3 linked regions of the Arabidopsis thaliana genome follow. The protein of the gene in region 1 interacts with the protein of each later gene in a pairwise test. Each region holds a gene or a part of one and is shown in the gene's direction. Other genes may lie near its edges. The genes, in order: AT3G51660, ZW9 and AT5G64160.

Evidence for each region.
Region 2: the proteins of AT3G51660 (region 1) and ZW9 interact in a two-hybrid assay, tested with the Arabidopsis thaliana proteins (one large-scale study listed by BioGRID).
Region 3: the proteins of AT3G51660 (region 1) and AT5G64160 interact in a two-hybrid assay, tested with the Arabidopsis thaliana proteins (one large-scale study listed by BioGRID).

What each region holds. Positions count from the first base shown.
Region 1 is NC_003074.8:19,163,454-19,167,215, reverse strand, and holds AT3G51660 (Tautomerase/MIF superfamily protein), read left to right. Parts: upstream 1-1,893; 5' UTR 1,894-2,139; coding exon 2,140-2,250; intron 2,251-2,759; coding exon 2,760-2,987; 3' UTR 2,988-3,221; downstream 3,222-3,762.
Region 2 is NC_003070.9:21,611,303-21,616,148, reverse strand, and holds ZW9 (TRAF-like family protein), read left to right. Parts: upstream 1-1,979; 5' UTR 1,980-2,059; coding exon 2,060-2,448; intron 2,449-2,663; coding exon 2,664-2,833; intron 2,834-2,926; coding exon 2,927-3,209; intron 3,210-3,297; coding exon 3,298-3,449; intron 3,450-3,558; coding exon 3,559-3,755; 3' UTR 3,756-4,346; downstream 4,347-4,846. Other genes in the region: AT1G58265 (Cytochrome P450 superfamily protein), read right to left, coding at 4,761-4,846.
Region 3 is NC_003076.8:25,668,954-25,673,222, forward strand, and holds AT5G64160 (plant/protein), read left to right. Parts: upstream 1-1,976; 5' UTR 1,977-1,987; coding exon 1,988-2,191; exon of another isoform or gene 2,192-2,265; intron 2,266-2,492; coding exon 2,493-2,610; intron 2,611-2,917; coding exon 2,918-3,065; intron 3,066-3,151; coding exon 3,152-3,365; 3' UTR 3,366-3,757; downstream 3,758-4,269. Other genes in the region: AT5G64150 (RNA methyltransferase family protein), read right to left, coding at 44-178, 537-782, 1,026-1,778; AT5G64170 (dentin sialophosphoprotein-like protein), read right to left, coding at 3,951-4,052, 4,134-4,269.

The sequences.
Region 1 (3,762 bases):
ACAAAACCATGCCAGGCCACTTTCGCTTTCCTAGCTTTTCTAGAAAACTGAATATGAACACTACAAAAAATTCTTATACATATTTTTCTTTTCTTTTCAAAAAGGGATTATTAATTAAAAAGTACAATAATATATATATATATATATATATATATCATGACATTAATTTCATAAGGACAAAACTTATCAATTTTCTATAGCTTTTATTTTATTAAACCTTTTCACATGTTCTTTGATTTTTGATATACCAACCTTATTATAAATTTTTCTTTCCACTATGGCTAAATATATGTTAATTTCAAAAATTTCAATCTTTTATTCTTATTTGTTTATTTATCTATTTTTGTCAATCTCTTCCTTAAGATAAAAGATTTCTACTAAATATTTCAAAAACTATAAATTGTCAAAAAAAAGGTTTGGCGTTTCTTGATAACATGGTGGACCAGTATGTGCTAATTCTCGTGGACAGACTTCGCTTTAACAATGTTTGAAAATTGAAACCTTTGGCTTTAGAGTTTACTTTTGACTTAGTGCTTACAGAGGAACACTAATCGATTACGTACACTTTAATCATACGGGATTTTCCTTAAAGACAGCCTCTGTCCCTGTTTCAACAATTTGCTATTTTTCTTCTTCTTTCTTCTATCAATTTGGTTTTCTTCCAACGACTTCTTTTATCCATTTATACTAGTCCACCAAAATCTAACTAAAAACAACAATTTTCTCATGTGTAACCAAGCCCGGCCCATGTGTTCTGAGGCCCCACCATACGCCAAAGATGTTTTGATGGTCCATCAGTTTCAAAAAATCATGGAGAGAAAACTTCGAACTAGATTCTTCTTTATTATTTTCAACCAAAGTTGCTGATAAAATTCTTAAACATTGTGGTGACTTCCAAATTGCATTATATCTCTAGTGGTCCTAACCCTAAGCTTCTAGTATTCGTGCTTAGGACCGCGTAAGCATATAACCTCTATCTCTTGTTGTTAACCCTTACAAGTCATGATGCCTTTTCCATTTCTTCTTGTCCTCGTGACTTCATCCCAAAACCAAAAACTTTCTGTCCATCAATTAATAAAAAATATAAACTTATGGGGAAAAACACGTGATAAAGTAAATGGGCAAGGGATCCGGACGGTTGTGACTTGTGAGACACAAACCGGAATTCGACGGTTTAATTATTAAGGCAGGTTGTCGGTTTTACTAGGTGAATTTTATGACAAGTCGACTCAAACCGTGTTAGTCAGTGGATCATAGGTGATATGTTTACGGTTCAACATACCGAACTTGTCCGGGTATGACTCTACATGGATGAAAAGTTGGCTTTCGATATAGGCTCATGGTAAGTCCTATAACGAACTTATACCAAACCTTGAAATAAACATGTGTAATAGTCGTTGTTAGATAACCCATAATCGTTGTTAATACGAAAATATGGAACCATAAATCTAACGTTTTCCACATTTTAAAACTGATAACTGATAAGATTAATTTGCAGATAATACGTATCGTTGTGGGTAACCGGTTTATAGTGACAGTTGCGAAATAAACAAATCTTTTTAAGACGAAGTAGCGGCGCTACATACGCACCACATGGATGTGTACGAAACACACAATTTTAAATAAATGGTCAATGATCTAAAACATTTGCCCAAAAAAAAAAAAAAAAAAAAAAAAAGGTCAATGATCTAAAACGAATCTCGTAAACATTTTCCTAACCCATTACGGAGAAAATACAAATATTAATAACATCAAGTTTTTATCCTTTACCTTTATTAACAAAAAATTATGGACTTGGTTTTTTGTGTGTGTGTGTGGTCCAATATGGTATGAAATCAAATTTCTTCGAGGGCGACGTAGCTGCGGTAATTGATTGAGTCACGTCCCCAAGTTGTCAGATTTGAAACTCAAAGATATTATTTCAAAAATTGTTCACATCAAAACGAAATTTTAAAATAATGCAATACAATAATTTCTTTCATTAATTTTTGGACGCGATAATTTAGCTCTATATATAATTGGCCATGTGAGAGATCTTCTCTTCCACAACTTCCAAACACCATTTAAATCCCCTCTCATTTGGTTTCTTGAGATTCTTGCAAACAAAGCTTAACGGGCGTTAGTATTCACGGTGAGAAAATGCCTTGTCTTTACATTACAACAAACGTCAATTTTGACGGCGTTAACACCGATCCGTTCTACTCCGAAGTCACCAAAGCCGTCGCTTCCATCGTCGGACGACCTCAAAACGTAAGAACCTCTCTTAAACACTAATCTCTCTTTCCTTCAGAAATTTCCTTTAAGTTTTAAAATCAGACAAAAAAAAAAAAAAATCCTTGACTTACATATATCAGATGCACTTTTGTTATTTAATGGAATTCAATAGTGATCAAATACTCTATCCATTCTAAAGTTATTGTAATGCCTTTTCTATCTTTTTTATATATATTAGAAAATATAAGATAATTGAGACGTCATATAATAAGCATTGTTTACTAGGTTTCACGTAAATTGGCTTCAGAATTGTAAGAAGAAAAAAAAGTCAACATCACAGTTATTGATTTATTAATATGTATACTTGACCCCTCAAACCAAGATATATTTTTATGTACAAAAGAGGAAACATCGATATTAATAGCATGTGGCCAAGATTTTTTTCCTCTAAATATCATTCTATGTGTTGGGAAGATGTAGGAGATAACAAATATATCTTCCAATTTGTATATGTTTACTCAATAAACGAGTTATGTCCATTGCAGTTAGTGATGGTGGTGTTGAAGGGATCAGTAGAGATAGTATTTGGAGGGAACAAAGAAGCAGCTGCATATGCAGAGATTGTGTCAATGGGAGGCATCACCAAACAAGTTAAGAGAGAACTCATAGCGACCGTTGGTTCTATTCTTCACACTCATTTTTCTATTCATCCCACTCGTTTTATCTTTAAAGTTTTTGATATTAATTCTTTGCCTCTTCCTTCTAAACTTTAGTGTTATGATCTTTGTATTGTTCATCAAACACAAATTATATACAGACTCACATGTTATTCTTTTCTTTATGAGTCTTCTCTATTTTTATGTTTACAAATCTTTTACTATTATATCATCATTCATGTAGATCTTGACCCTATAATCTTAATATAAAACTTGAAACAAAACATACCGAGAGATGTCCTAATCTGAGAGACATAGACTAAGTCTTTGGACTTGTAAACTTAATATAAAACTCTTTTTTTTTTTGTCATTGTCAAAAAAAAAAAGACTAAGTCTTTGGACTTGGTCATAGTTTCATAATTTTTAATCTACTTAACAATTTTGAATTAGAGAAGAAGTAGTCTCCTTGAAGATTAGAAACAAACTTTGAAATCATTGAGTTTCCGGTTAGTAGAAATCTATGATTCCATCGTTTATTTTCAAATAGGAGCTAACATGAATGAATGAAACTTGACAAAATAATATTCTAAAAACAAAATCTTTAGTCGTACAGATTAATTCTTGTTTCATATGATTGGGGCCAACAATTGGTATAGTACACACACGTTCTTGATTTTGGACCACAATAGAATGGTAGAGATATCAAATAAGGGCAGAGAACTTTAAGATGAGGTTTCAAAATCCAACTAAGCATGTAAAAGAAATGCTAAACATTTTGAGACAACGTTTAACCGGTTTTATGAAGTCAGTCACTACAATTAACAATGGCCGACGAGTCTAATGTTACAATCAAAACTCACGAAATGGAATGAAGTCTCCTCGTTTATCTGAC
Region 2 (4,846 bases), on another chromosome or scaffold:
TACATATACATTTTTGCAGCCATTTTAACAAATAAATCCTGAATTTGGACTTATTTACAACTCAATGCCATTAGCATTAAATCTTTTCTCCAAAATAATTAATTTTACTTGATTTAAATTGTCAACCACATTATCAATCAAATTTAACCCTTAAAATTAGCATAAACATATTTGTTAACAATATTTTAAAACAAAGTTTTTTGTTAAAACAAATATTATTCTTACTAAACATTTTTTGTTTAAATAAATAAATCATGTATTTGAACTTATTTACAATCTCATGACACTGACATTAATTATTTAGGAATGAAAATATTTAATTAAAGATTTAAATCTTCTAAATCCTTGCTTTTAGAGTTATTATGTCATTACCTTAAAGGCTCAAAATATAAAATAAATAAATATAATTATTTAAATATTTTAAATTTATAAAACATTATTAATATTTAAAATTATAAAAAGTTTAATATATCATAATTTTTTAACATCATTATATAATATATAAAGTTTAAAAAAATCTCTATTCTTTCCGCCATAATTTGTGATTCGAAATTTTAAAAATAAACATATATTAACCAATTGGCGAAAAATGTTTGAGTTCAACGTCCCACATCGACTAAAATATTTAGACAATAATTCATAAACATATCATAAATAAGATTAACATTAATAAAATAATGGTTTTTTTACGGGACGGGTTTGGCGTGACGGGTTTGGCAGAACGTTACTTAATAACAATTGTAAATTATAAAATAAAAATATTTTATAGATAGATACAATTTGCAAAATTTTATATATATTAACTTTAAAATATAAATTGTCCCCGCGGTGTACCGCGGGTTAAAATCTAGTATTGAAATATTTTGGTTTCAATTATTTATTTATCGGGAATTGATTTTGAATTGGTAGTGTGAATTATTGGTGTCACTGTTATACCGCGCTGGCAATTAAATCGATAGGGTCATATAGATGTCATTAGGTAATCGCAAGAGTAATATATTTTATGGATATGGTAAGGGTTGATGCTTTGTCATGGTTTTTATTATTATTATTATATATAAATGTAAATATTAATGAAATAGTGTGTATATATATATATAATAGTTTTGGAATTACATGATGTATAATGTATATAGGGGTTGAGAGACCTATGACCGGTCAAAATTTGGGGGCCAAAGTAACAAATTATATATTTGGGGTTATTATAAACTGTTTTGAAATTTGGATATATTTTTCTTAGAACTAAATATATTTGGAAGCCTATTTATAAATCAGGTTTGCTGTAAAAAAAAGTTTTTAAAAATGGAGACAACATACAAATGTTTCATGTTGCTTCTTTCAGAGCCGGCCCGGGAGAAGCGTTGCCAAAAAAGAATAAAGACAAAGGTAACAAATAAACAAAGAAGACACAACAGTGAATTCATCTAATCCAAAGTTGTATGTGGTTTCCGAAATGCTTCCTTTGTCTTGTTCCGAATCTCTCTGTCGATGAACTTGAAAATGGTGTTTCACGTTCATTCAATAAAAAATAACAACCATAGTGTACACAGAGACTGATAGTGAAATAAAGGAAAAAAAAACTATAATCTGTTAAATTCAGATAATATCTATTATTTTTTTGTTTTGTTGAAAAATCAAATCTCTAGTAACATTAATGAGTATGAATCGTGTCTGGTAGTTGGTACGAATCGAGATCTCATCAATGGGTTTTTTAAGCTGCTTTGAGACGTGCGTAACACGAAGTTGTCCACTATGACTTGCTCTTGTACTTATAAGTTAAAATAATGATGCAGCAGAAAACAATTACTATTTTGTGAGACACGTATATCCCAACAAAACAATATGTCGTAGAACGTGCTAATTAATTAGTGAATACCTACGTGTCACGATCTCATGAGATTGGTGTATTACTGAGAACTAACGATCTCATGAGATTGGTGTATTACTGAGAACTAATCACTAATAAACGTGAATCTCGTGACACATATTATCATTATGCCTATATATACGTACATAAAACAAGACATTATTACAAACACAAAATATAGAAAAAGAAATAATGTATTCAGAGGAAAAGAAAAGCAGAAATTATGGTTCAATCTTTGTCTACTGCTTCTTCTGTTTCGTACTCATTGTGGAGGTTGCAAGATTCGCAAAACCTTATATCAACCTTCAAAACCTAATTGAGACGGAAGCAGTAGTAGAAGAAGGTTTCATGGCGGTGGGGAACTCAGGGAATCTTCCGTGTGGCTCGTCAAAACCTAGCTCTGCCTCTGTTCGTGCTCATGATGAACAGAAGCTCTCGCAAGCAGTAACAACAGATACGAGAACTCGTCCTCCAAATTCGTACTGCGTGAAGTTCCAGTCTTTTGTCACTATGGCAAAGCAGGTCAAAGAAAACGGTGGCAAGTATGAGTCACGTCCTTTCTCCGTCGGTGGATACAATTGGTACGTACGCGTTGACTTCCATTTCAAAAATGTTGAGAAACCATACCTTATACATAGAAGATATACATTTTTTTTTGTCAAAGGGTATTCATTTATATACTAGTGTTTTGATCATCTCCACTTTCTATGTGAAAGATTTTAACTTATTGCTCTGAATCTCACCCAAATTTTAATTTGTATATAATTTGACATATTTCTACTTAAAATGTTATAAGGACGCTCCTAATCTACCCAGTCATATACATTCCAACGGACTCGGGTGGGTACGTTTCGATTTACGTAAGAGTCGATAACTCAAGCCTCATCACCAATCCAAAAGATGTGTATGCAGAGATCACATTCCTCGCTTATAAAAGCAGTACAGACAAGTACCAAATAAGCCAGGGTACTAATTAACTAATCTAGAGCAAGTAAATATATATGTTTAAATCTTTTGTGGTTTGTTCAGACTAGTTATTTAAGTTTGATCCGTTTGCAGAGACTGAGGCCCAGCGATTTCATTTGTTTAAACAACAGTGGGGACTTTTACAATTTCTACCAATTTACTATTTTGAAAATCCGGCATATGGATACTTTTTCGAGGGCGAAAGCGTTGTGTTTGGCGTTGACATCAACATTGTTAAACCCTTTGAAAATTGGGAAGTGTTCTCTAATGAACAAAACATTCGTGACCCTATTTTCGAATGGAGACTCACCAAATTCTCTACACGTTTTCTTGACTCTTACACTTCTGATTCCTTTTCTTCCGGAGGAAGAAACTGGTACGTGTGACTTTCTTCCTCTTGTATATATATAACAATACGTACAAGATGTGTTAGTTTAATAATATGATGGTTTTTTACATTGAAGGGCATTGAAAGTGTATCCAAATGGAGTTGGAAATGCTACGGGTAATTCGTTGTCACTCTATTTGTTGAGTGATCAGTCAAATGATAAGGGTTATGTGGAAGCTAAGTTACGAGTTATTGACCAGATCCAATCCAACAATTTCGAGAAAAAAGGTTTGATATCTACTTTGTCAACTACTACTACTAATTTAAAGCTAATTAATTATAATTAATGAGCCTTTAAAAAATAAAAATAACTTTTGATTTCTTCCTATATACACAGTGGCGGCATGGCCCAATGCAACGGAGAATGGATGGGGTTTCGACAGGTTTCTATCATTTGCAGATATCAAAAACACATCAAAAGGTTTCCTAGTCAACGATACTCTCAAACTTGAAGTCCAGATCTTGTCCTTCTCGAAAACCGACTACTACTCTCATCAATCGTCTCTTAATGTTTTAACGGGAGATAGTACTTAGGTGACTAATCGTCGCTAGTGTAATTTTACAACTGGCTACTATCACTTTGCTTCATTGTGTTTTTTGTTTCTGTTCAATAATAATGAGTTCGAGCTTTCCTATGTCAAACTTGATCAATCTGATTTCACATATTGAATACCAAATTGGATAGGATGAAAGAGGCAGTCCCTAGGATGTTTTTTTTTTTTTTTGGATTTAAAGATTGGGTACGTAATCCATTCACATTTCCTTTTATAATTGTCCACTTCTTAATCGTTTAGTCGATCGTCTACGGCTTCAATAATTGTAGTTTTGTCCTTAGTAATTGATTATTCTTTTCACTTCGTTTTTCGTCCACTAATACAATTACTACAATGTTGTTCTTCTCCATAAACATTATCTACATCGATTCCTCTCTATTGCTTGTAGTTGTACAGTTGTCTACTGCGCTTAAACTTTTTGTTCACTTTTCATTTATGTTCCCGTCCTCGGCTTCAACTACTGTACTTTTGAAGATTTGTTAGATATACTAGGAACATGAACTGCTACTAAAAACTTGTCCACGGTTCCATCTTCGTGGACATCTGTATTTTGTTTACTTCGTTTCTCGTCGACTGCTACAACTACAGTATTGTTGTCCATCATCCCTTCTCCGATACATTATCTACATCCATCTTTCTTCGTTTCTCGTCGACTCCTACATGTTTGGGTGACAAATCATCAAGTGATAAATTATTATTGTATTAAAAGCAACCATTTTTATTGTATAACAACCATCATAACTTTCTTTCTGTCCACATTTAATGTGCCACGCCACACCATCATCTTATCTAGACGTCAACTGCTTTTGGCAGAGGTGTCAGCCTCATTGGGCGAAATGTTTTGTTTCCCTCCATAACCAATTAAAGGTAGTTTAGACATCTTCTCCTTTGTCAAAAGCTGACTCATTGCACAATTTTAAAGATATAAAAAATAGCATTGCCGACAAAATATTTATACAAATATGGCACAATTGGCAAAATTCCCTTAAAAAACATAAATAGTACTTAACAAGATTATATCACTTGATGATTTGTCACCCAAACATTTTCTAAAAATTCTTGATCTGAATT
Region 3 (4,269 bases), on another chromosome or scaffold:
AAAAGTATTGGGAAGTACACTACAGCGAGTTGTGTAAAAAAGCTCAGAGACGAAAGCCAGTCACGAACCGATTGATTCCAGCAAAATCAGAAACTATCTTCAAATCAGAGAAACAGTCTTTGAGATCACTGGTCATCATGTAATCTACGATCATCTTGCTTTGCTTCTCTCCATTAGTCTGCATCATCATAAACAAATAGGATTAATCTTTCATGGTTGATGTGATTATTAGTATATACGCAAACATCTTCCAACCAAATAAACATATAATGAAAATTGACCAATCAAGACTTTGATCTTTGAGTGGCAATCATAATCTTCTTAGAACGCCAAATTCTTACTGATAAAGTGAAAGCAACAATAAGCAACAATTGTTTCTTCGGACTCATACACAAGAACGATTATCTTAAATCTCTTTTCAATACTAACATTTCCGGTTTTAGTATCAGAGACAAAGAGAAAAACATAGTAAACCCAAACGATTGTATCTTTCTACTAAATATTTTGGAGAAACAGAGTGAAAATAAGGTAGGTACCTCGAAAACGAAAAAGCCACCAGGTTGAAGCATCCGAGAAGCCCCATGACAGAGATGAAAAAGACTATCAGTTCCATCAATACCACCATCCAATGCAAGTTTCGGTTCGTGTCTACCAACTTCAGCTTGTAGGCCTGGAATGTCATCACTTGGTATGTATGGTGGATTACTCACAAGCCCCACAAGTTTTCCTTCAAGATCTTTCAAAGGCTCAAACCAAGATCCTTCTCTCACTTCAATCATCCCCTGGATAAGTCCAATTTCATCACAATGGCAAGAAGTAACCAAAGCTGAAGAATCTCATACATATATCAAAATTCACAACCACCATGAGAAGAAATCAAACTGAAAATTCTTCAATCCACAATATACTGCTTTTATCTACCAAATCCTCTAATCCATTACAACTTTGATGTTGAAAATTCCCAATTCCATGAATACAATTGGTATAATTTGTCATGATTAGCTTTAGCAAAAAAATCAACTAACCTCAAGGCTGTATCTCTGCACATTGTGGCCGGCGACGGCGATCGCCACCGGACTGAGATCTGTAGCTATAACTCTCCCACGGCTTCCCAAGACTTTAGCAATGCCGATCGCAATAGCACCACTTCCTGTCCCAAGATCAGCCCAAATATCTTTCTTAAACCATTCATCTCTCGTTACAAGCTCCTCCACCATATCGACGATCAGTTCCGTCTCCGGTCTCGGAATTAGAACCCCTTCCTCAACGCACAACACTAGATCTCTCCAATGCTCGCATCCGACGACGTACTGAAACGGCCGACGCTTCTCGATCCTCTGCCTCCATAAATCGTAAAGCTCCTCCAACGACGCTCTCAATTTCACATTCTTCTCGCCGTTGTCCGCGATTTCGCTTCTATGAAGAATCACTAAAGGATCGTCTACGATTGAGTCTTCGATCAGCCATTTTAGCTCACGGTGGAGAATGACAGAGTCAAGAGTATCTTCGGAATTCTTCGAAGATTCCTCTACGGAGGACGCCAGATCTTTCGCCCAGTCGTGCCATTTCCAAACCTCCGATAGAGAAGTTGCGTGCGACGGCGTCCTAAGGTATAGCGGTGTCTTGGGAGTTATGCTGAGAGACTTAGTCGGCCGAGAGGATTTTGACTCTGTAAGCGACGTGTATTGCGGTGGTTTTTTCGCCGGAGAAGATGAGCAAAGAGGTTTAGCGGCAGAGAGCAAAGAGGTTAACCGTAGACTTGGGAAGATTCTTATCATTTCAAGGTTTTTGCCGCACAAACAGACCAAATCGGTTTATAAATATATTACCAACTAAACCGGATAATCCGGTTCTGTTTTTAGCCGGGTTTTGAACCGAGGATTGAAATAAGATTAACAAGGAATATAAGGGGCTAAAGCATAAATAAAGAAAAGTTCTTCTTATTTTTGTTTGCGGCTCCGATAGATCTTTGGAGCAACGAACAAACATGAGCTTGACGCTGCTTCAAGGCTATTCTTCTGCTGAAGAAGAAGAAGCAGAGGAGAGAGCTTTTGGGGATTACGACAACTCCGACGAAGATGGGGATAATGATGTTCGGAGATATGAATCGTCTTCTGTGTTTGATTTCTCTGCATCTGCCTCCTCCGCTAAAAACGCCGGCCTTCCTTCAGCTGACGACGTTTTCTCTCAGGTCTTCCTTCTCTTTGATTTTGATTTTATACACCTCAATTCATCGAATTGTCGTTTTCCTTGAGGAGATTCGCTGTGAGATTGAATGGTTTCTTTATTATAGATGAAAATAAGTTACTTGGATCTGTAGATTTGATGTGATCGGAATTTAGGGTTAGGAATCCTGAGACTAGGTTAGGTTTGGGGTTTGAATAATAAAGAGATCTTCTGATAGTGAAAACTTTTCAGTGTTCGTTGGCTTGGTTACTTCTTACTCGAAAAGCTTATAGTGAATGATTCTTTGCTTCTATTGAATTTTGCAGATTTCAGGGCCACCGGAGTTTCTAAACAACCGCACAGAAGCAGATAATGAAGCTTCAGCTAGAGATGCAGAACATGCAAATCGTATTAGTCGCAAAAAGAAGAAAGTTAAACCAAAAGGTAGCCACAACTCTTTTGCATCGTCTTAGCATTTTGGTTATAGGGAATGGTACATCTTTAGATGATGTTGAAGAATTTACATCAGTAGGTTTAAAGTTCACAAGATTACGGATTTGTATCTCGAAAATATATGTGAATGTGGATTTAGCTTTAGAAGCTTGTTTTGATACTTAAAGCATAAACATTGTGAAATATGAAACCAGGCACTTTGTGTTGTAATCTCTATCTATCCAGTTTCACAGTTCTGTTTATGGAACTGTTGTTATCTCTCGATCCAGCCTGATGGTTTCCGTTTATTGGCTTGTAGGTGTTGTCATGGAAGCAAAACCTCAACTAGTAGGAATCCATGAGAGAGTAAGAAACGATATTGATGCACCCCCATCTTCAGAGAGTGGTGAAAAGCGGATATCTACTGCAACCAATCCTAATGCAGAAGAATCTGCAGATCTCTTGAGGTATGAATAACCCTTGCCCTCTTCTTCATTCTTTAGTATAAATTTGCACAATGTGAGCTTGATTAGGATTTCTATGATGAGTTTAGGATGTGTGTGCAATGCGGTGTACCGAAAACATATACAAGCGCAAGAGGAATGGTATGCCCGATTTGTGGTGACCGGCCATTACCGGACGTAGACGCGAAGAAGAAAGGCTCTACGATCAAAGATAAAGAGAAGAGCAAAAGAATGAGAGGACAATCTTCTCACGCTTCTTGGAAAAGTGAAACCGAGATGCAGCTTAGGCAAACTTTCGATTAGTGTTTCTTTTACCTTTTACTACATTTGTACCATCCAAATCCAATTTCTGTAACGTAGCTTGTGACACAAAGGTTAATCTTATAATTTGCTTCGGAATGTCTAATTTCATCATTATTGAAATATATATATTTATGAGATCATCAAATATTTATTGGAAAATAAAACCCTAAAATTCGCTATTTTGAAAAAAAGAGAGTAAATACACAGCAGAATATTTTATCGCATTACAAAACGAACTAACATCTTTATCTACAGAATTGCTATGTCTCTACTTCTTCCTCTACTTAACAACTTGAACAGATTACAAAGGTAAAGAACATATCTTAAAGACCTGGTTCGAGCAACCAGGTGTACAATCAGGTTCGAGCAACCAGGTGTACAATCAGGTTCGAACCGAAATCTAGACCAGAAAGTTATCTCAACACATAAATACAACTGTGTTACAAAATCCATGATTCTAATGAAGAAGCAGTCAGGATTTTAGTAACTAACCTGAGCAATTTCGCTTAGCCAAAATCGAGATTAGTGTTAACAACAATATCTCGAATGCTTCAGCAATGAAAGAGCCAGTTTTATTTGACATCATTAATTGTTGTCACTTGTTACAACTTCTGCTTCGGGTCTAAGTTCTGTAGTTTCCTCTTGTTTCTCTATCCTCAGGCTCGGACTACTATTGGGCTGAGGAATCTGTGTAGATAGTGATGGGTAAAATGAGGCACTGTGTTTTGCACATTAAATGGCGGTGTAAGAATCGAAGGTTTAACTTACCATTGGATGAGATTTATAAGACAGAACATTGTTATCGGATGAAAGAGATGAGTCTGAGGGCCTGTGAAACAGCAAATGAGCTATCGATCGATCTATCGGGTTTGTATCAGTTTCGATATCCATGAATCCAGCATAC